Linked DNA regions of Macaca mulatta. The protein of the gene in region 1 purifies or fractionates together with the protein of each later gene. This does not show direct contact. Links are inferred from orthologs where the notes say so. Each region holds a gene or a part of one and is shown on either strand. Other genes may lie near its edges. The genes, in order: AKIRIN2 and IPO9.

Region 1 (10,148 bases):
CTCACTGCAAGCTCCGCCTCCGGGGTTCACGCCATTCTCCGGCCTCAGCCTCCCGAGTAGCTGGGACTACAGGCGCTGCCACGTCGCCTGGCTATTTTTTGTATTTCTTAGTAGAGACGGGGTTTCACCGTGTTAGCCAGGATGGTCTCCATCTCCTGACCTCGTGATCCGCCCGTCTCGGCCTCCCAAAGTGCTGGGATTACAGGCTTGAGCCACCGCGCCCGGCCTAATGTTTGTACTTTTAATAGAGACAGGGTTTCATCATGTTAGCCAGGCTGATCTCGAACTCCTGACCTCAGGTGATCTGCCTGCCTTGGCCTTCCAAAGTGCTGGGATTACAGGCATTAACTACTGCGCCCAGCCCCAAGATTTCTTTTTTAATCCCATTGTTTGCATTGTCTTTCTAGGTCCACTTTCATTTTGTTTTCCAAAGATTCCATGGAGAAATAAATGGTATTGATCTATAAAATGATCCAGAGGGACCCCATACACCTAAACTTAAAACTGCTAGCGAAACCTTAATGTTTGATCTAGTAATGATGTCTGGAGGAAAACAGTAAAGCTTTATGGGTGTGGAGCAAAAGTTTCTAGTTTCACATGTCAGATTTTTAGAACTTAAATGTATGGACCCTAGAAAGATACTTTGACAGCCCACCCTTCTTTTGTGGTTCTCCTTAAAGTTATTTTTAGTTGCTTCTAATTCCATGTTCTTTGCTCAGTCTTACCTTGATGCTGTTTGTCCTGCCCCCATCAATTCCATTATGCTTTTTATCCCATAACTACTTTCTCCTGTTTATATTGTTGACCTTATTCATGGTGCCCAGCATTTCCTAAGTAATCAGTGGCAACTAGAAAGAGGCCTTTTATTTCCACGTTTACGATATTTACTTATTTATTTTTTTTGAGACAGAGTTTTCTTTCTTGTTGCCCAGGCTGCAGTGCAATGGCATGATCTCAGCTCACTGCAACCTCTGCCTCCTGGGTTCAAGCAATTCACCTACCTCTGCCTCCCAAATAGCTGGAATTACAGGCATCCGCTACTACGCCCAGCTAATTTTTGTATTTTTAGTAGAGATGGGGTTTCACTGTGTTGGCCAGGCTAGTCTCAAACTCCTGACCTGAAGTGATCCTCCTGCCTCGGCCTCCCAAAGTGCTGGGATTAAAGGTGTGAGCCACTGCTTTCGGCCTCCTAATTTGTTTTTAAAAATATTCCAAAGAAATAAGTGCTGACTTGTTGATACCACCTAATTAGCAATTTTAGTGACATGTACTAGTTGTTTTTTTTTTTGAGACGGAGTCTCGCTCTGTCGCCCAGGCTGGAGTGCAGTGGCGCGATCTCGGCTCACTGCAAGCTCCGCCTCCCGGGTTCCCGCCATTCTCCTGCCTCAGCCTCCCGAGTAGCTGGGACTACAGGCGCCACCACCGCGCCCGGCTAATTTTTTGTATTTTTTTTTTTTTTTTTTTTTTGAGACGGAGTCTCGCTCTGTCGCCCAGGCTGGAGTGCAGTGGCCGGATCTTAGCTCACTGCAAGCTCCGCCTCCCGGGTTTACGTCATTCTCCTGCCTCAGCCTCCCGAGTAGCTGGGACCACAGGCGCCCGCCACCTCGCCCGGCTAGTTTTTTTTTTTTTTTTGTAGTTTTTTTTTTTTTTTTTTTTTTTAGTAGAGACGGGGTTTCACTGTGTTCGCCAGGATGGTCTCGATCTCCTGACTTCGTGATCCACCCGTCTCGGCCTCCCAAAGTGCTGGGATTACAGGCGTGAGCCACCGCGCCTGGCCTATTTTTTTTTTTTTTTTAAGTAGAGACGGGGTTTCACTGTGGTCTCGATTTCCTGACCTCGTGATCCGCCCGCCTCGGCCACCCAAAGTGCTGGGATTACAGGCGTGAGCCACTGCGCCCGGCCGACATGTACTGGTTTTGCGCCCGGCCGACATGTACTGGTTTTGCGAATGAAAATGCTGTGAGTCGTAGAACTTGCTAATGACTTCCACTTAGCAGTATTTTATGGTAAAAGAGGTAGTTTTTAGGATTTAGTAAAAGAATATACAGCCATTTGTGTGCTGTAGCTTGTCTTGAAGATAACTCTACATATTTTGCTCTAAATGGTTGCTGCAAATTCAGTCTATGCCTCATAAGCCAAATAGGAAGGCATATGATTAAAACTGGAATATGCAACTGATAATACAAGTGAAGCTCGGACTTCTTTTTTCTTTAATGAACTTTAAATTGTATTGGCAAGACAATGTCAGATATTACATGTACCTTGGATAAAATGTTAACTTGCTGGTTTGGTAAGAGATGGCCAGATCTAAGTAGCTTAAGACTAAGTAGACAAGTACTTTACTGATATGTAGAAGGCCTTTATCTACCTGGTATGAAAGCAACTCAGGTCACCCAAGTATCTAGATTGAGCTTAGCAATGTGGTGGTTGTAGAATATTGAATCCGAGGAAGTTTCTTGAGTTTATCAGCTTCAAGACTGTTTATATCCCTGGACTGAAATAAATTGAGCTTGAGGCTTGCCATTGCAGTTAGCTGTTTGCTACTTGTGCGGTTGAGATCTTGGCCAAGTTAAATTGGACCCTTTACTGCATAACATTGTTGATCACATGTTACCAGTATTAGAGCATTTGAGGGCACCAGTGTGGCTTAGATGACATAGTTGCATCATATTTGATGTAAAAAGCATGCAGTCAATAGCTTTAAAAATTCTTCAGCTCTTTAGCTGACAATATCAAGTGTTGGCAAGGATGTGGAACAGCTGGAGCTGTAATACTTTTATGGTAGGAATGCAAAATGACAAAATCACTCTGGAAAATGGTTTCGCGATTTTATTTTGTAAGAACAAAATAAACCGTTCATTTGCCATATGATTAGGCAGCCTATTCCCACTCCTAGGGATTTATCCAAGAGAAATGAAAACATGTCCGCCAAAGACTGGTACTTGAATATTCGTAATAGTTCTAAATTGGAAACAGTCTTAATGTCCATTAACAGGAGAAAGGATAGATATGTGTGTGTATGTATACATACATACAATGGAATTCTCACCAACGAAAAGGAATTTCTGATTCATGCAAAATATATGAATCTCAAAAGCATTGTGCTGAGTGAAAGTAGTTCAGACATAAAAGTCTGTACTCTTTATGATTCCATTTATGTGAAATTCTAGAGAAGGCAAAACTATATAGTAATAGCAGATGAGTGTTGGTGGACTGTACTGGGGAAGTGGTGATGGTGGTAGTGAATTAACTGCAGAGGAGCCCAAGAGAAGTTTTTGGAGTGATAAAAAGTTATTTATCATAGTTAATGTTAGTTCCAAAACTGTATGTTTGTACTTGTCAGAACTCAAATGAATTGTACATTTAAATTGGTTAATTTTGTCATTTGTAAATTACACCTTAAAATGTTAGTGATGTCTCTAAGTGTCTGATGGTATAGAGTTTTACAAAGATAAATTTTTAAAAGTTTTACTGTTTCTTAATTCTGGGTTAGCTTTCATTTGAGATTATCAAATGAACAAATTGAGGTGGTTGTTATACAAGCATTCTTTTGGTACATTTTAGTTGTGCTTTGGTTGACTTGTGAAGCAGAAGGAACACTAAATCTGAGAACAGCTATGTGGTGATGAAAGAACGTATGTAAGTCACACAAAAGATAAATATTAAGGTCAGGTTACTCCAAACTAGTACCTCCTAAAATCTCTGGTTATAAATAAATTTTATGATGTTTTGAATAGCACTTTTGATCAGGATAATGGTAGCTTTGGACAGAAAGTGATGAATGTGAGTGAAGCTTACTTTCTGTCAGAGAGCAAAATATAAATGCTGGGTGCAGTGGCTCACACCTATAATCCTAGCACTTTGGGAGACCGAGAAGGTTGGATCACCTGAGGTCAGGAGTTCGAGACAGGCCTGACCAATATGGTGAAACCCTGTCTCTACCAAAAATATAAAAATTAGCTGGGCGTGGTGGCTCACGCTTATAGTCCCAGCTACTCAGGAGGCTGATGCAGGCGAATTGCTTGAACCTGGGAGGCAGAGGTTGCAGTGAGCCGAGATCGCGCTACTGCACTCCAGCCCGGATGACTGAGCGAGACTCCGTCTCGAAAAGAAAAAAACGCTTTAGATTGCTGTTACTGAAAAGAGGTCTGTTATTTAAAAAATGAGGGTATTTGTGTTTGTCGTGGTTGAAACCAGATGTTACATTAGTTTTATTGGGTACCTCTGGTGAATATTAGGAAACCTATTTATATCAAGGTATGCTTACCATTCAGAAGACAACTCTTTCATGCCAACACTGATAATTTAATAATTTAACCACTGTCACTCAATTGGAATAACTTTGTTTTCAAATTACAAAGTAGTTCAAATAAATGGAAAAGGACTGAAAATGACCATAACTCGTATTAAACAAATGTTAACAAATGAAAAATACAGCTAAAGCACTCCAACATAACCATCCTGAAATTAATCATTATAGACCTGTTTAAGTACACGTGGATGTGTGATTTTGTACTTAAACCACACATTCATGTATATATAAACAGGTCTTTTTATACAACGAAATTTATGTAAATGGTATCTTTAACTGGATATGTCTTGCAACATTTTTTCAGTTTAAATAATGAAACAAGCAGTATTTAAAATGTTTAAGGGAACTTATTTGTCCTCCCAGAGTCTCTCAAAAATTCTAAAAGTTCTCCTAGGGAAATAAAGTGAGAAAAGAGGTAAGTGACAAGATTTTGTAGATATGGTGGTTATCTACGAAAACCACCAGTGTTACATTTTAAAAAGAATTATTGTATGTAAATCTTTAGCTTTCTTTTTTGTGTGTCATAGAGACAGGGTCCCTCTGTGTTGCCCAGGCTGGTCTTGACCTCCTGGCCTCTAGTGACCCTCCCACCTCGACCTCCCAAAGTGCCATGGTTACAGGTGTTAAGCCACCCCACTTCACCAATATCTAACAGTTCTTAAATTAATGCATCATTGTAAAATTGAATTTTAAGGCTACACTCCACTCCGTCAGTCTTTTTATTGCCAGTTAATTGCCACCTAAATATTTCATTTTTATTTAATCTTGCTTTGGATTTTGATTAGTAAACTTCTAGGGATGTAGTTTCACATTGATACCCTGTTAACTTGGGAGCTATGGAGGTGTAGTGAGGAGGTGTAGTGAGGAGGTGTATGGAGGTGTAGTGAGGAGGTGTAGTGAGGTGTAGTGAGGAGGTGTAGTGAGGTGTAGTATGGAGGTGTAGTGAGGAGGTGTAGTGAGGTGTAGTGAGGAGGTGTATGGAGGTGTAGTGAGGTGGTGTATGGAGGTGTAGTGAGGTGTAGTGAGGTGTAGTGAGGAGGTGTAGTGAGGTGTAGTGAGGAGGTGTAGTGAGGTGTAGTGAGGAGGTGTATGGAGGTGTAGTGAGGTGTAGTGAGGAGGTGTATGGAGGTGTAGTGAGGTGTAGTGAGGAGGTGTAGTGAGGTGTAGTGAGGAGGTGTAGTGAGGTGTAGTGAGGAGGTGTATGGAGGTGTAGTGAGGAGGTGTATGGAGGTGTAGTGAGGTGTAGTGAGGAGGTGTAGTGAGGTGTAGTGAGGAGGTGTAGTGAGGAGTGGAAACCCCCAGGTAGGGATTTTCTGGAGGGGCCAGATGGTAATTATTTTGAGTTAGAAATCTTTCTGAAATGAATCATACTGGCCTAAAAGATATGCCAGATATAATTTTACTCATTCGTGTGATTGTGGTTCAAGATAATTGCACTGTGGTATGGTGGTTCTTATTTATTGAGGACCTGTCATGTACCAGTCACTTCACATGGTCTCTCCCTCACCCCACCCACCCTCCAGCCCCAAGATTCAGAATGCTATAGTATTCTTAGGTTTTATTGAGCTTAAAATAATTGGCCATGGCCATTTAATGTATGATGACTTTTTTAGTTCCCATCTGCTTTGTCATTTTGTTGACCTACTGTCACTTCAGACTGTTGTGTGCTTGAATATACATAATCCCCCACGCCCCTTCTTATTTATGGGCTTGGAAAAGGCATAAAGGCATTAAAGGCAGTTGGAAAAGCCTGTTAGTGTAATAGTTCTATGTGATGAATAAATGAGCTTTAAGTTTGGAACTCAAGAATCTGAGTAAAATAGGTGTTTGGGTTCACAGACTACTTGACCATTATTTTGATTGAAAAACTTTATTTTTGCTAGTCAGTGCTCAGCAAGAATATTGTTGAGCAGCTGAATTCCAGTTGGTGTGTATGTGCTAAGTGAATGTCCTCATTTATGCTGAAATGAGTTCCTACCAGAATGTCAGTTTTCTGGATATTATTTGAAAGGAATATTTTGGGTAGATTGGTCTACTAAATAATGTTGGAAAGCCAACCTCTTTTTTAATGTGAAAGTTTTTATCTTGCCAAATTTTAACTTTTTTTATTTTAGAACAAATTCTGTACAACATAAAACAAGAGTATAAACGAATGCAGAAGAGAAGACATTTAGAAACGAGTTTCCAACAGACAGATCCGTGTTGTACTTCTGATGCACAGCCACATGCATTTCTCCTCAGTGGACCAGCTTCACCAGGTAATAACATTTCTTTTCATTTATAAAGTTTATTATTTAGAGTGGGAAAAGTTTAATCCAAGTTGTCTTTAGTCATTTAAGCTACTATATCTCCTCTGAGTTTTAAAAAAACATTTATACAAGTAATGCATGACATCTTAAAAATATGGTACAAAATAAGGAATTATCACCTGGATTCCCACTAACCAGGGACAACCACCTGTATAATAATATCCCCAAAGTGGACATCCTGTAAGTACTATGATTTGTAGCCTTTATTAAAAAAATTAACAATAGGCCAGGCACGGTGGCTCATGCCTGTAATCCCAGCACTTGGGGAGGCCAAGCGAGGTAGACAGGTCACTGGAGGTCAGGAGTTGAGACCAGCCTGGCCAACATGGTGAAACCTTGTCTCTACTGGAAATAGAAAAATTAGCCAGGCATGGTGGCATGTGCCTGTAGTCCCAGCCCCTTGGGAGGCTGAGGCATGAGAATCACTTGAACCTGGGAGGCGGAGGTTGCAGTGAGCTGAGATCGTGCCACTGCACTCCAGCTTGGGCGACACAGTGAGACTTTGTCTCAAAAAAAAAAAAAAAAAAAAATTAACAGAATACTATATGCTCCTTTGTTAGGTATAGATGTACCTTGTCATGACCGAATGCTTATTGATAATTCAACTTAGATGTTTTGCTGGTATAGTATTTTAAGAAATATCCCTGTATACGTACCCTCCCTTACACACTTGTCTTATTGGGATAGATTTCTAAAGGTGGATTATTTTATTACTTTTTTTGATCCTGTATCTGTTTTTACCTACCTTTTGTTGGGGGGAGTGTTTGCAAATAACCTTCCTTTTTAAAAAAAAAAAAAAGGAATAAGGGCTACTTGAAGCAAAGAGAAAGTTGAAGGTTTTGCTGAAAGAGAGCCATCAATAGTGGCTCTTACCTTTAGTAAAGTTCTCAGCAAAATAGCTTTTCTTGTGACAACAGTTGCCTTTGTTCAATGCTTTCTCTCCTCCCTCTAGCAAGGGTGGGAAAACCTGGCAGAATAAAAAAATTTCGACCAGGCGCAGTGGCTCATGCCTGTAATCCCAGCACTTTGGGAGGCCGAGGCGGGCGGATCGTGAAGTCAGGAGATCGAGAACATCCTGGCTAACACAGTGAAACTCCATCACTCTAAAAAGACAAAAAATTAGCTGGGTGTGGTGGCAGGTGCCTGTAGTCCCGGCTACTGAGGTAGGAGAATGGCATGAACCTGGGAGGCAGAGCTTGCAGTGAGCAGGGATCACACCATTGCACTCCAGCCTGGGCGACAGAGCAAGACTCCGTCTCAAAAAAAAAAGAAAAAAAAAAAAATCAAAGACCATAATATAGTCAAATAAAATTAGATTAGGAAACATGAAATTGTTCAAAACTAAATACTGCCATGCCCATTGTGGGGGGCCAGTTATTAGTGGTTGAAACATAGTAAGAGGTGAGGGTTGGGTACTAGACTGTATTAGCAGGAAACCAAGATCATTATTTCCTTACTCACTTAGAAGATCAGTTAACTGGCTCTTAAGTAACAAAGCTGGGAATGTGAAAATAAATTAAGATAGCCTTGGGTAATTATGAATAAAGCTGGTGTGCTTTGTTATTGTGATATGCGCAGTTCTAATAAGCATAGTTAACTAGCTCCTGCCATGCCGGTTATAAGCAGCATTAAGTTAAGAGAGTAATATTGGTGGTACCAGGGCAAATTCACAGAGTGAGATGAAGAAACAATAGATAACAAATGAGTGGTGCACTTGAATGTGAATAAAATACTTTTAGCAGTATTACAATAGATGTTATTACTACAAAATATTTTCTCTTTTATAAAAAAATACTAATAGGTATAAAAATGCTGAAGGAATATTCTTGCCAATTTACTAATGATATTGACAGACACTGATGTTGCAGCTGCTTTGGGATTCTTAGTGTGATGACAGTGTAGTTCTATGATACTATAGAGTTTTGAGCATAGCATTATCAGCTCAGTACTTGAGCTTATTTTTCCATGCGAATTATTGTTAACTGAATGGTAGTAGTCAATGTGTTCAAACACCTTTAGAATCATTTATGCTTCTCCAGCAAAGTAGATTCCAGAATGTCTTTTTTATTTTGTTTCATTTTGTTTTTGAGACACGGTCTCACTCCGTTGCCCAGGCTGGAGTGCAGTGGTGAGATCTTGGCTCACTGCAGCCTCTACCTCAGCCTACCCTGTAGCTAGGAACAGGCACATGCCACCACTCCCAGCCAATCTTTGTATTTTTACTAGAGACATGGTTTGCCATGTTGTGCAGGCTGGCCTTGAGCTCAAGGGTTCCACCTGCTTCAACCTCCCAAAAAGTGCTGGGATTACAGGTATGAGCCACCATACCCAGCTAGATTCCAGAATGTTTTTTAATCTTTTTTAAAAAGGGTTCATGCTGTACCTTCTTTTTTTAAACAAAGGTTTTATTGTGCCAACATGAAATTTCTTTTTTTTTTTTGAGATGGAGTTTCTCTCTTGTTGCCTAGGCTGGAGTGCAGTGGCATGATCTTGGCTCACCGTAACCTCCGCCTCCTGGGTTCAAGTGATTCTCCTGCCTCAGCCTCCCGAGTAGCTGGGATTACAGGCATCCGCCACCATGCCCAGCTAATTTTGTATTTTTAGTAGAGACGAAGTTTCTACACGTTGGTCAGGCTGGTCTTGAACTTCTGACCTCAGGTGATCCGCCCGCCTCGGCCTCCCAAAGTGCTGGTATTACAGGCGTGAGCCACCATGCCCGGCCTATTTTCTTTTTTAATAAAGGAAAACCCCTTTCTAAAGGTGTGAAATGATGGTAGAATAATTTACCGGTTCATTGTGTGTGGGCTGTTAAGATATTAATGGTATGGCTTTGAAGATTGTGTCTTTTTACTGGCATAATGATTTGTTATTCTGGGACTAAATAAATTAAGTTTAGACCTGAGGTGTTCTTTATTCCTGGTGTAGGAAAGTTTAGGCACTAAAATACTTCATGGTATGGTATTTTCCAGAAAGGAGATGAGAGGTTTTGTAATGGGACCCATCATTGTAATGTTTGTTTTTTGTCTTTTTTAAATTTAATTTTTAATTTTTTGTTTTTGTTTTTTTGAGATGGAGTTTTGCTCTTTTTGCCCAGGCTGGAGTGCAGTGGCACGATCTCGGCTCACTGCAACGTCTGCCTCCTGGGTTCAAGCAATTCTCCTGCCTCAGCCTCCCGAGTAGCTGGGATTACAGGTGCCTGCCATCATGCCTGGCTAATTTTTTTTGTATTTGTAGTAGAGACAGGGTTTCACCATGTTGGCCAGGCTGGTTTCAAACTCCTGACCTCAGGTGATCTGCCTGCCTCGGCCTCCCAAAGTGTTGGGATTACAGGCATGAGCACCACGCCCAGCCTTTCTTATGTCTTAAAGTTTTTTCTACTCATCTTTAGACTTTTTTTTTATCTTGATTACATCTTGCCACGTTTTTCCAGCGTCACCAGCTGATGGAATTATTATTTTGGTTGTTTTAAGACTTGTGAAATGCTGTGCTTAAAATCTGATTTTAAAATGCTTTTATATCAAGATTGA
Region 2 (10,148 bases), on another chromosome or scaffold:
GATACGCCTGGAGGAAAAGAGCAAGAGTGGCATTAGTGAGATGTTGCAAGTCACCCATTTGCAGTGAAGCAAGAACCACAATCAAATGGCACAGGGAATGCTGGTTTTTAGACAAATGCCAGCTCCCTGAGGGATGGTCTTTCATGTTCTTGGATCTAGTTTAGATAATCCACAGGGAAACAACATTTTTCCAAGGCTCTATCACCCCAAGGACCTTCACGACATAGACTCTAGAAGATGAATTACAACACATCAAGTGCAAAGTTCCAGCCCATCCAAAACACTGGACCACTCAACAAGACAAGAACTCTTTCCCGTGAGGCTCCCATGTTAAATTATAAATTGATTTTTTTTTTTTTGGGAAAAAAAAATTTTTTTTTTTTTTTTGAGGTAAAAATGCCCAGACGGTCTTGAACTCCTGGGCTTAAGCAATCCTCCTGCCTTGACCTCCCAAAGTATTGGGATTACAGGCATGAGCCACCATGCCTGGCCATAAATGGATTTGAGCCCATATTCCTGTTTCCATGGCCTGGGACATTGCCATTTGCAAGACATCTCTGGACACCCTCACCTGCAGATCAATCTGATAGAGAGGATCCTTCAGGGCATCAGGGTCATCTTCCTCATCATCCTCGTAGTAATCCTCCTCTGTTAGACACAGCCAACATAGGGCGGATCAGGACAAAGGCCCATGATCAGGCCCTGAATGGTGATATACTACCACATGACGGAGGCGGAAGGTGCAAAAGCCCAAGGAATGTCCCTGTGGGCCCACCTCTCCCCTTTCTTGGGTACCCCATTCTTGGGATCAGTGTGGAAAGAAAAGGTATTTACCATGGCTGTCCTCTTATCAAACAGCTTACCATATTTACTTGTAGCAAGAATGTCAGATAAAAGTTGGCCAGCTAAACCATCCTCCTCCTCCTCCTCTTCCTCCTCCTGGTCCTCCCACATATCATTGGAGTCATCTACTTGGAGATGAAAAGTAGCTAGAGCTAGGGCACATTCATGCATTTCCCCTCCCCAAATCCAAACAGACCAGAAGGGCCCCAAAGGCTTCTGCAATGTGGCTTGTAGTACCCAGTGAAAGAGAACCAGAAATGGCCAAACCCTTCTGGTAAATCTGAAAGAAAGAACCTGGAGATATAAAGGTTGAGAGGCTCTTAAGAAGAATCAAACCAAAGAAGGGCTATGTTAGCTTGCCTCCTGGCTGCCTCCCACCCCAGCCTTCATATGGCAGACTGGAGAAGCAGCTCTTTACATGCCTAGTGCCTAGCACGGTGCCAGCCACAGAGCAGCCATTCCATTAACCATTAACTTGTTTTTTTTTTCAATTAGTGACTCAACAAACCAAGTTGCTAATTTGACAATTTGTAACTTGATCTGCCAGGCTAAAAGTCTCCTTGGAGTAAGGGCCTGGTGCACCTTGACTCCACTCTGCAGGAGTGGCCTGGCGAGCGGCATTAGCCTCCATGACGTTGGAGAGCTCGTTGATGATCAGCTTTAGGATCTTGACCAGCAAAGGAATGTTTGTCCAGCGTTCTGGGTCTGGGAAGGAAGAAAAAGGCTTCAAGTCAGAGTGTCACTGGGCTTACTTCTGGAAGTAGCCCTGTCCCCTCCTCAGTGCTGCTCACCAGAGTTCACCACCCCTCAGACTTTCACTGTCCCTGACTATATCTAGTCTCCAAAGAGTGATTTAAAGTTTAATAACTTTATTCTGTTTGGTATTGTAACAGTTCAGAAGGTGGGAGAGATGAGAGTTCAGGGATTAAAGGAGATAGAGTCTTGTTAGTAATAAAGCTCTGAAACCAAGGAACTGTATAGAGCCAGTACTCTAGTCCCAGTGACTTACAAATTGAGAGACAGCGGAGGTAATTATAAATCTACATTAAAGATAGCAGCTCTATACTCCCTACCTGCAAATCCTTGGTGTTACAGGCCAAAGTCAACTCAGTAACAAAGACACACTAACCATCTGTGCCCAAGCCTCAGAATGAAGCTGGAAACTGGGATGCTTGGTACCTGAGACTATTTTTGTCCTTTTTTTTCCCTCCAGACAGAGTTTCGCTCTTGCTGCCCAGGCTGGAGTGCAATGGCGTGATCTTGGCTCACTGCAACCTTCGCCTACCGGGTTCAAGCTATTCTCCTGCCTCAGCCTCCCAAGTAGCTGGGATTACAGGCATGCGCCACCATGCCTGGCTAACTTTGTATTTTTAGTAGAGGTGGGGTTTCTCTATGTTGGTCAGGCTGGTCTCGAACTCCTGGCCTCAGGTGATCTGGCAGCCTCGGCCTCCCAAAGTGCTGGGATTACAGTTGTGAGCCATCACACTCACTTTTTTTTTTTTTTGAGATGGAGTCTTGTTTTGTTGTCTAGGCTGGAGTGCAGTGGCACGATCTTGGCTCACCACAACCTCTGCCTCCCAGGTTCAAGCGATTCTCCTGCCTCAGCCTCCCAAGTAGCTGGGATTACAGGCGCCCACCACCACATCTGGCTAATTTTTGTACTTTTAGTAGAGACAGGATTTCACTATGTTGGTCAGGCTGGTCTCAAACTCCTGACTTCAAGTGATCCATCCGCCCTGGCCTCCCACCAACTGCTGGAATTACAGGCGTGAGCCACCACGCCCAGCTTATTTTTGTCCATTTTTGACAACAGGAAGAAACCATATGTTCTGATCCCTTTTATCTAAGTTTCCTGTTGCTTCTTTATCAAACCCATCACCAACAATTATGTTTTGAAAATATACACCACAATGCATTCCTTCCCTCCACCCAGGTATCCTTAGCCCCTTATTATAAGGAGAGGATTGGAGGAATTGCAGCATCACCCACTTTTGGCTGACTTAGAGCGGGTGCGGATGCCCTCATCCATGCTGTAGATCTCCTCTCCCTTCACACGGATATCCTGTAGCCGTTTGTCATCTGCATTGATGCCATGCTGGAGCAGCTTACAGAGTGCCACAGAGCTGGCAAGGAAGATCCAAAAAAAAGTCAATCAGTTACCTATCTAGAGTTCATGCCAAGGAGATAAGCAATCATGTCCTAAGGCCCTCTATTTGACAGTGAAAATTCTGTTAACAACTAATTAGGAGAGCTAAGAGAGTTCAGCTGAAAATGAGATTTTAGAGTTCATGAGATGGTCTAATGAGATCTATTCTTCTTCTTCTTATTTTTTTTTTTTGTGATAGGGTCTCATTCTGTCACCCAGGCTGAGTGCAGTGGCGTGATCATGGTTCACTGCAAAGCCTTGACCTCCCTGGGTTCAGGTGATCCTCCCACCTCAGCCTCCTGAGTAGCTGGGACTCCTGAGTGGGTAGGCACGTGCCACCATGCCTGGCTAATATTTTTGGTAGAGATAGGTTTCACCACGTTGCCCAGGTGGGTCTCAAGCAATTTGCCCACCTCAGTCTTCCAAAGTGCTGGGATTACAGGTAACCTGTTCTTCTTGAACAAAGCTAGGGTGGGCAAGCATCACGATGGCTATCCATATTGTAACGTGCAACGAAGTGATAAGAATCAGTGGTATAAAAGTCCAGGATAGAAAGTTAAGAAGCCAGGGTTAGAGGCTTGGGTTTTTTATTTTGAGACAGTTTTGCTCTTGTGGTCCAGGCTGGAGTGCATCTGCCTGTCGCCCAGGCGTGATCTGCCTCCTGGGTTCAAGCGATTCTCCTGCCTTAGCCTCCCGAGTAGCTGGGATTATAGGCACCCACAACCACATCTAGCTATTTTTTGTATTTGTAGTAGAGAGAGGGTTTCACCATGTTGGCCAGGCTGGTCTTGAACTCCTGACCTCCAGTGATCTGCTTGCCTCAGCCTCCAAAAGTGCTGGGATTATAGGTGTGAGCCAGTGCGCCTGGCCAAGGCTTGGGTTTCTAAAGGAAAATAAGCCACTAGCAGCACTTAGCTGTGTGAAGTCTGCGGTAGAAAAGGGATCTCTAGCAAGCAGAGATCAGAAATATATAGTCTACCTGTGTTGACTGTCTTTTGGGGATTTCAAGATGGCAGCTATTCACATATGTGCCTTAGCAATAAAGAAAGACAAGGAAAAGGGAATACAAAGAGCCATCTGAAATGTCAAACAAAAATCAATGGAGCAAATCAGGGAAAAAAAGAAATATAGGTCAGGAGCAGAGGCTCAACACCTGTAATCCCAGCATTTTGGGAGGCCGAGGTGGGTGGATCACTTGAGGTCAGGAGTTCAAGACCAGCCTGGCCAACATGGTGAAACCCTGTCTCTACTAAAAATACACACACACACACACACACACACACAAAAGAATTAGCTGGGTGTGGTGGAAGTTGCAGTGAGCCAAGATTGTGCCACTGCACTCCAGTCTGGGGGACAGAGTGAGACTCTGTTTCAAAAAATAAAAAAACACAAAAGAAAGAAATATAAGTGGTGAAGTGGTGGCAGAATGCCCAGAAAAGAAAGATGGGATTCTACCTGACTTTGCCTTCATACTGTCCATAGAACAGGTGCTGTCGGCTTGTCCACTCAGCCATCACAAACTCTAGAGCAGGTTTGCCAGTAGGTCCTGGGAGGCTACACAGGAACTCCAAAAGAGGTTCTAGCTGAGTGTGCACCAGATGAGCAAACACCATGATCAGGGACTAGGAGAAAATAAGGACATTTGCTTCAGGGAAATCAATTTCAGAGACATAAAAGATGAGAGGGAACTGGCCAGTCAGATAAGAGACAGAGTCTACACTGAGGGTATTATTCACAGGACAAGAAAACATGGAGATTTCCTTGTCCATGTTTCTTAGGCCAGACAGATCCCATTTTACTTAACTGTCCTACAAGGGTAGTAACAGGGTAAAATAACTCAGGACCAAAATACTAATTTTCACTTCTATCAGCCAGGAGTAGGAAGCCCACTCCCTACTGTTCTCTTACCTGCATGACACTGAGCGTCTCTGCCTGCTGCATCTTACTGAGGATGGCACGAAGAATCTGGTCTAGATTCTCCCCCAGCTCCCGCCCTGCCTTGGAGATGAGGGTGGAAACAAGGCGGCCCACAAAGGCCGCAGTGAACTCTGAGGTGCGGGGGTCCAGGAGCTGGCTCACCACTTGCATCACATACCACAGTCCATTGTGGCCCTGCTCATCATGCCACTGGGCTACTTGTTCCAGGGTCACTGACACATAGGCCCGCAAGCACTCTCCGCCATTCTGGGGAGACAGGGGTGGCAAGCAAGATTAGTAACCGAGAGACAGATGCCAGGAGGCCCTCAGTCTGTATAAACAAATGTTCTCAGAGGCCTATGCCTCATAAAAGCGGTGAGTCTATAGTATTTGTGGTGGGCTCATATCACTGGAATCAGGAATTTACTGTTATAGACACAGACATGCATTACATAATTCCCCCTTTACCTAATGAGCTATCTCAAAAATATGTATTATTATTATTTTTTAATCACAAGGGACAATGGCCAAGCAAAATGAATTTTAATCATAAAGGTCTACCTCTGGTACTAAAAAAATATGCTTACAATCTTGCAATAATTGGGGATACTATAGGACCTCATATAGGTCTTACACAAACCACTAGTTGCCTAGGGATTTCTAAGCTGATCAATATTCACTGGCAAGTTCCTATAACCTTTATAATCAATGACGGTAGTACACACCTGAAAAGGTAACCAATTCACCCAGGAAACAAAAAGAGAAAAAATATTTAGGCATCTCTCCCCTCTCTAGAGGCCCATCACTCTGCTGATTTTATTAATAGAGGAAATATGCAGAAAGACTTTCTTATGGCCCCAAGTCTAGATGTCTGTAATCTCTTTCATAGTAGCAATACCCAATACAGATGGGCAGGGTGCTTGGTATCTGTATTTTTAAAAACTGTAACATGCTCCAAAGCACCAGAAACGCTTGGCTTTTGCAGCCTGAACCCTTCCTGAATCTGCTAAGTAAATATGGAGTTGAGGAATTCCGTATTTCAAAAGCATAAAACCATGTCAGATTTCTCAGCGTAGTAAAGGCCCATGACTGGGGAGCTATCTTCCCCCTTCTAGTCTCCATGTCTCAGATACCTGCATGGTGGCATTGTCATCTGTGTGAAGGGTACACTGTGCCACAGCAGGGAAAGCTTGGCAGATGAGAAGCTGGGAAAGGGGAGGCTTTGTATTTCGTACTACTGTTGTCAGGATATCAATGGCTGTCTGAAAGAGAGAAGAAAAAAGAGTCAGAATTGCCTCTGGGGTTGGGGGTGCCCAACAACTAAGATCCTTACTGGATGGGTATCACATAGCAACCCAGAGAAAGCTTATTAATGAAAGGCAAGTTTCCAAAATAAAAGGAATAATTAAATGGGTAGTGCTCTCAGCCTCCTCCTAATAGTTTACTAATTGATTAGTCCTAGGGGTGGGCACTAGTACATGGTAGTGGATTGGATAACCAGGTGACATACTTAGTGGCGCTGTGTAATGGTGGCACTCTGTTCAATTCACTGAGGGTACCTCTGAAACAAGAAGAGCCATTTTCTTTCTTTTATTCTTTTTTGAGGCAGAGTCTCACTCTGTCACCCAGGCTGGAGTGCAGTGGTGCGATCTCCGCTCACTGCAACCTCTGCCTCTTGGGTTCAAGGGATTCTCCTGCCTCAGTCTCCCAAGTAGCTGGGACTGCAGGTGCCTGCCACCATGCCTGGCTAATTTTTGTATTTTTAGGAGAGACAGGGTTTCACCATACTGGCCAGGCTGGTCTCAAACTCCTGACCTTGTGATCTACCTGCCTTGGCCTCCCAAAGTGCTGGGATTATAGGCGTGAGCCACCGCGCCAAGCCAAGTCATTTTCTTAAAGCTTCAGAGAATCACCCACTGTCATTGTGGGCAAAAGAGCTCAGCAAAATCACCCCATGAATCTCTAATGCTATTAAGTTCTTGTCAGCTACATGCATCTGTGGGTGGCGCTTGTATATCTCACACACACACAGCCACTTACCGCACAGAGCCCTGCAGGGATCTTGTCTGCTGGGGCCTGCATTATGCTGACCAGAGTGGGAATCAACCTCATTTGCATTGGGCCCTGACAGGCTTCAATCTGGGACAGCTCCTTGAAGATGTCCTGAGCCAGTGAGGCGACGACGGGATCTGAAGTGGATAAGGCAACACGGAATCCCCCTGCCTGATGGTCTGCATCTGCTTCTCGCTTAATGATGCCTGTTGTTTGCCCTAACCTAACAACTTCTGCATTGATTACTTATCACACATCCGGGACCTAGTGGGGCCACATGAATAACCTGAAAGAACAGGAGTGATCCTAAATCTCCAAGAGGTACACTTTGTATGGCTTCATTAAAGTAGGGACTAGTCTTCAACAGCTACTCCTAAAACAAAATGTAGTTTTTCTAAAGAAAAATCTTTAAAGTCTTTATTCTTGTGAAACCTAGATTATAAAACCATATGCTTAAAAGAAAAAAAAAAGCCCAACTGATACTTTAAGAAGAAAGTTGCAAAAATTGCCAAAACACTGACTTTGATGCATGAGAGAAATCATACATATCTCCTATGAGGTAGCCATAGTGGCCATGAACAATTCTCAAAGCTACTTCTGGGGCAAAAGGCAAAACTCCTAAAAAGCAGAGCCTTATGAAGAAAGGGAACTTTAGCTCAATCTTCTTTATCTATATAACAAAACATCCTCCTCTATTTAGTATGGAAAAATATAGGCAATGTATGTTAAAGTATATCTTAAAAGATCACTGCAGCATTGTTTGTAATAGAAAAAAATTGGGAATACCCTAGATGTCCATTAGCAGAATGGGTAAATTATGATATACCCATTTTATGGAATACTATGTAATGGCTGAAAGAATGAGATATATCCAAGAACACAATGTGGAAAGCTCCTCAGTACACATTTTTCAGTGAAAAAGCATATCTAATAACATGTTCAGTATATCACATTATATAAACAATCCTTATCCTGTACATCTTTCTGAGCTTCAATATTGGAGCTCTCCCTTTAAAAAAAAAAAAATCCTTAATATTTTACTAGTAATAAGGTATTAATAAATACATTCACTATAGGAAAAAAAAAAACTTAAACTGCAGAAAATAAAGAAAACACCTGTAATTCCACCACCTAGAGATAAACACTCTTAAAATTTTGATGTATTTTTTTCTTTTCTTTTTTTTTTTTTTTTTTTTAACATACTTAACTATACATATATCCTTTCCTAAAAGAAAAATCAAAACTTGGGATCATATTCTATGGATTTTTGGGGAAAAGTATCTTTTCATTTATTACAATGTAAGCTCTTTCCCATGGTTTTAAATATTCCTTTTTAGCTTGATTTTTAATGGCTGAACAGTATTTCATTTTATGGATATAATTAACTAATGTCTTTTTATAATTTCCAAATTTTTACTACTGTAAAAAATATCTAGTGAATACCTTTGTTCATAAACTTTTACATGTATCTTTCTTTAGTATCTCCTTTTCTAACTTATAGTCCTAGCCCTTTTCTTTTAGGAGGCTTTTCATTTGCCAAATTTCCTATTCTATCATCAAAGTTCTGAATTATGTCTCTTGCTTATAAGCCCTTTATTTATTATCTTTTTCCCTAAGTCCTTACTAGAGAGTGTTACAGAAATAGGTACTCTATTTTTTAATGCTGCTACATTTACAGCACAATTCTATTTTTTGCTAATCCAAAGCCAGATTCTTTGCTTATGATGTTAAAACCATAGCATCATAGGTAAGACCAAACCTAGGGAATCTTTCATTTAAATTCCCCAGCCACCACCTTTTCTTTGGTGCCCCTCATAACACAGTTCTCCCTGGTGGCATACCATTACTGTACTTTAGAAAAATGGCGATGGTGAAGGGGCAGATTTTGCTTTCCATGCTTGCTGTGAATTCGGGGTCTACTGTACAAACGATGCACAGGGTCTCCATCACCAGGTTGAGGACCTCTGAGCTGAACTGGGCTGCTAGGTGAATTAAGCCATCCAGGATACTGGGGAGGAAGGGCTGGAGCACATGGGTACTCTCTGATACTTTCAGTTGGTCACAATAACTAGAGAGAGACAGATAAGCAATTATTATTTAAAAAATTCAATTCCTGGTTTTCCCAATTAATCTCACATATTATAGCATTTATATGTGTAGCTTTATAAAGCAAATTCTAAAGTTAGGTAAGTTTCTACTTCTTTCTGGATGTATTATATAAACATTAGCACCACCATTTCTATGTTCTCTATTTGACTTTTGCTATTTTCTTTAAAAACTTCTGCTTTTTTTCTTGAAGTTTTTTTTTCTGCATCCTGAAACAAGCTTAATTTATATAAACTTTTTTTTTTTTTTTCTTGAGACGGAGTCTCGCTCTGTCACCCAGGCTGGAGTGCAGTGGTTGTATCTCGGCTCACTGCAAGCTCTGCCTCCCGGGTTCACGCCATTCTCCTGCCTCCTCAGCCTCCCGAGTAGCTGGGACTACAGGCGCCCGCCACCTCGCCTGGCTAGTTTTTTTGTATTTTTGTAGTAGAGACGGGGTTTCACTGTGTTAGCCAGGATGGTTTCAATCTCCTGACCTCATGATCCACCCGTCTCGGCCTCCCAAAGTGCTGGGATTACAGGTTTCAGCCACCATGCCCGGCCTTATATAAACATTTTATTTATACTTTCGAAATCAGCCTATTAGCTGTAGGATTTAAAGTTCCCTTATAGTTTTACTGTATTAGCCTCTTTTCAATCAACAAATATTTACTGAATGTTGCTTACCATGTCCAAAATGATACAACTGTTAAAAATACATTGTCTAGGACCAGGCACTGTAGCTCACGTCTGTAATCCCAGCACTTTGAGGGGCCAAGGCAGGCAGATCACCTGAGGTCAGGGGTTCAAGAGCAGCCTGCCCAACATGACAAAACATCTCTACTAAAAATGCAAAAAAATTAGCTAGCCGTGGCGTTGCGCACCTGTAATCTCAGATACCTGTAATCTCAGAGAGGCTGAGCCATGAGAATCACTTGAACCTGGGAGGCAGAGGTTGCAGTGAGGCGAGATCATGCCACTGCACTCCAGCCTGGGTGACAAGAGCGAGACTGTCTCAAACAAAAACAAAAACAAAAACAAAACCACAACAACAAAAATTATCTAAATCTTTACTTTTGTTTATCTTTAGAATGGCAATAAGTTACAA

What was found.
Region 2: the proteins of AKIRIN2 (region 1) and IPO9 purify together in Homo sapiens (affinity purification with mass spectrometry; 3 studies listed by BioGRID and IntAct, counting the BioPlex papers as one, with this or other methods). This does not show direct contact. The link is inferred for Macaca mulatta from reciprocal best matches to the Homo sapiens genes AKIRIN2 and IPO9.

Annotation. Positions count from the first base shown.
Region 1 is NC_133409.1:98,258,200-98,268,347, forward strand, and holds part of AKIRIN2 (akirin-2), read left to right. Parts: intron 1-6,426; coding exon 6,427-6,570; intron 6,571-10,148. UniProt on the Homo sapiens protein: Molecular adapter that acts as a bridge between a variety of multiprotein complexes, and which is involved in embryonic development, immunity, myogenesis and brain development.
Region 2 is NC_133406.1:59,520,984-59,531,131, reverse strand, and holds part of IPO9 (importin-9), read right to left. Parts: intron 9,027-10,148; coding exon 8,800-9,026; intron 7,096-8,799; coding exon 6,947-7,095; intron 6,169-6,946; coding exon 6,040-6,168; intron 5,174-6,039; coding exon 4,898-5,173; intron 4,612-4,897; coding exon 4,445-4,611; intron 2,967-4,444; coding exon 2,833-2,966; intron 1,549-2,832; coding exon 1,426-1,548; coding exon of another isoform or gene 1,417-1,425; intron 972-1,416; coding exon of another isoform or gene 969-971; coding exon 864-968; intron 649-863; coding exon 572-648; intron 8-571; coding exon 1-7. UniProt on the Homo sapiens protein: Nuclear transport receptor that mediates nuclear import of proteins, such as histones, proteasome and actin. Serves as receptor for nuclear localization signals (NLS) in cargo substrates.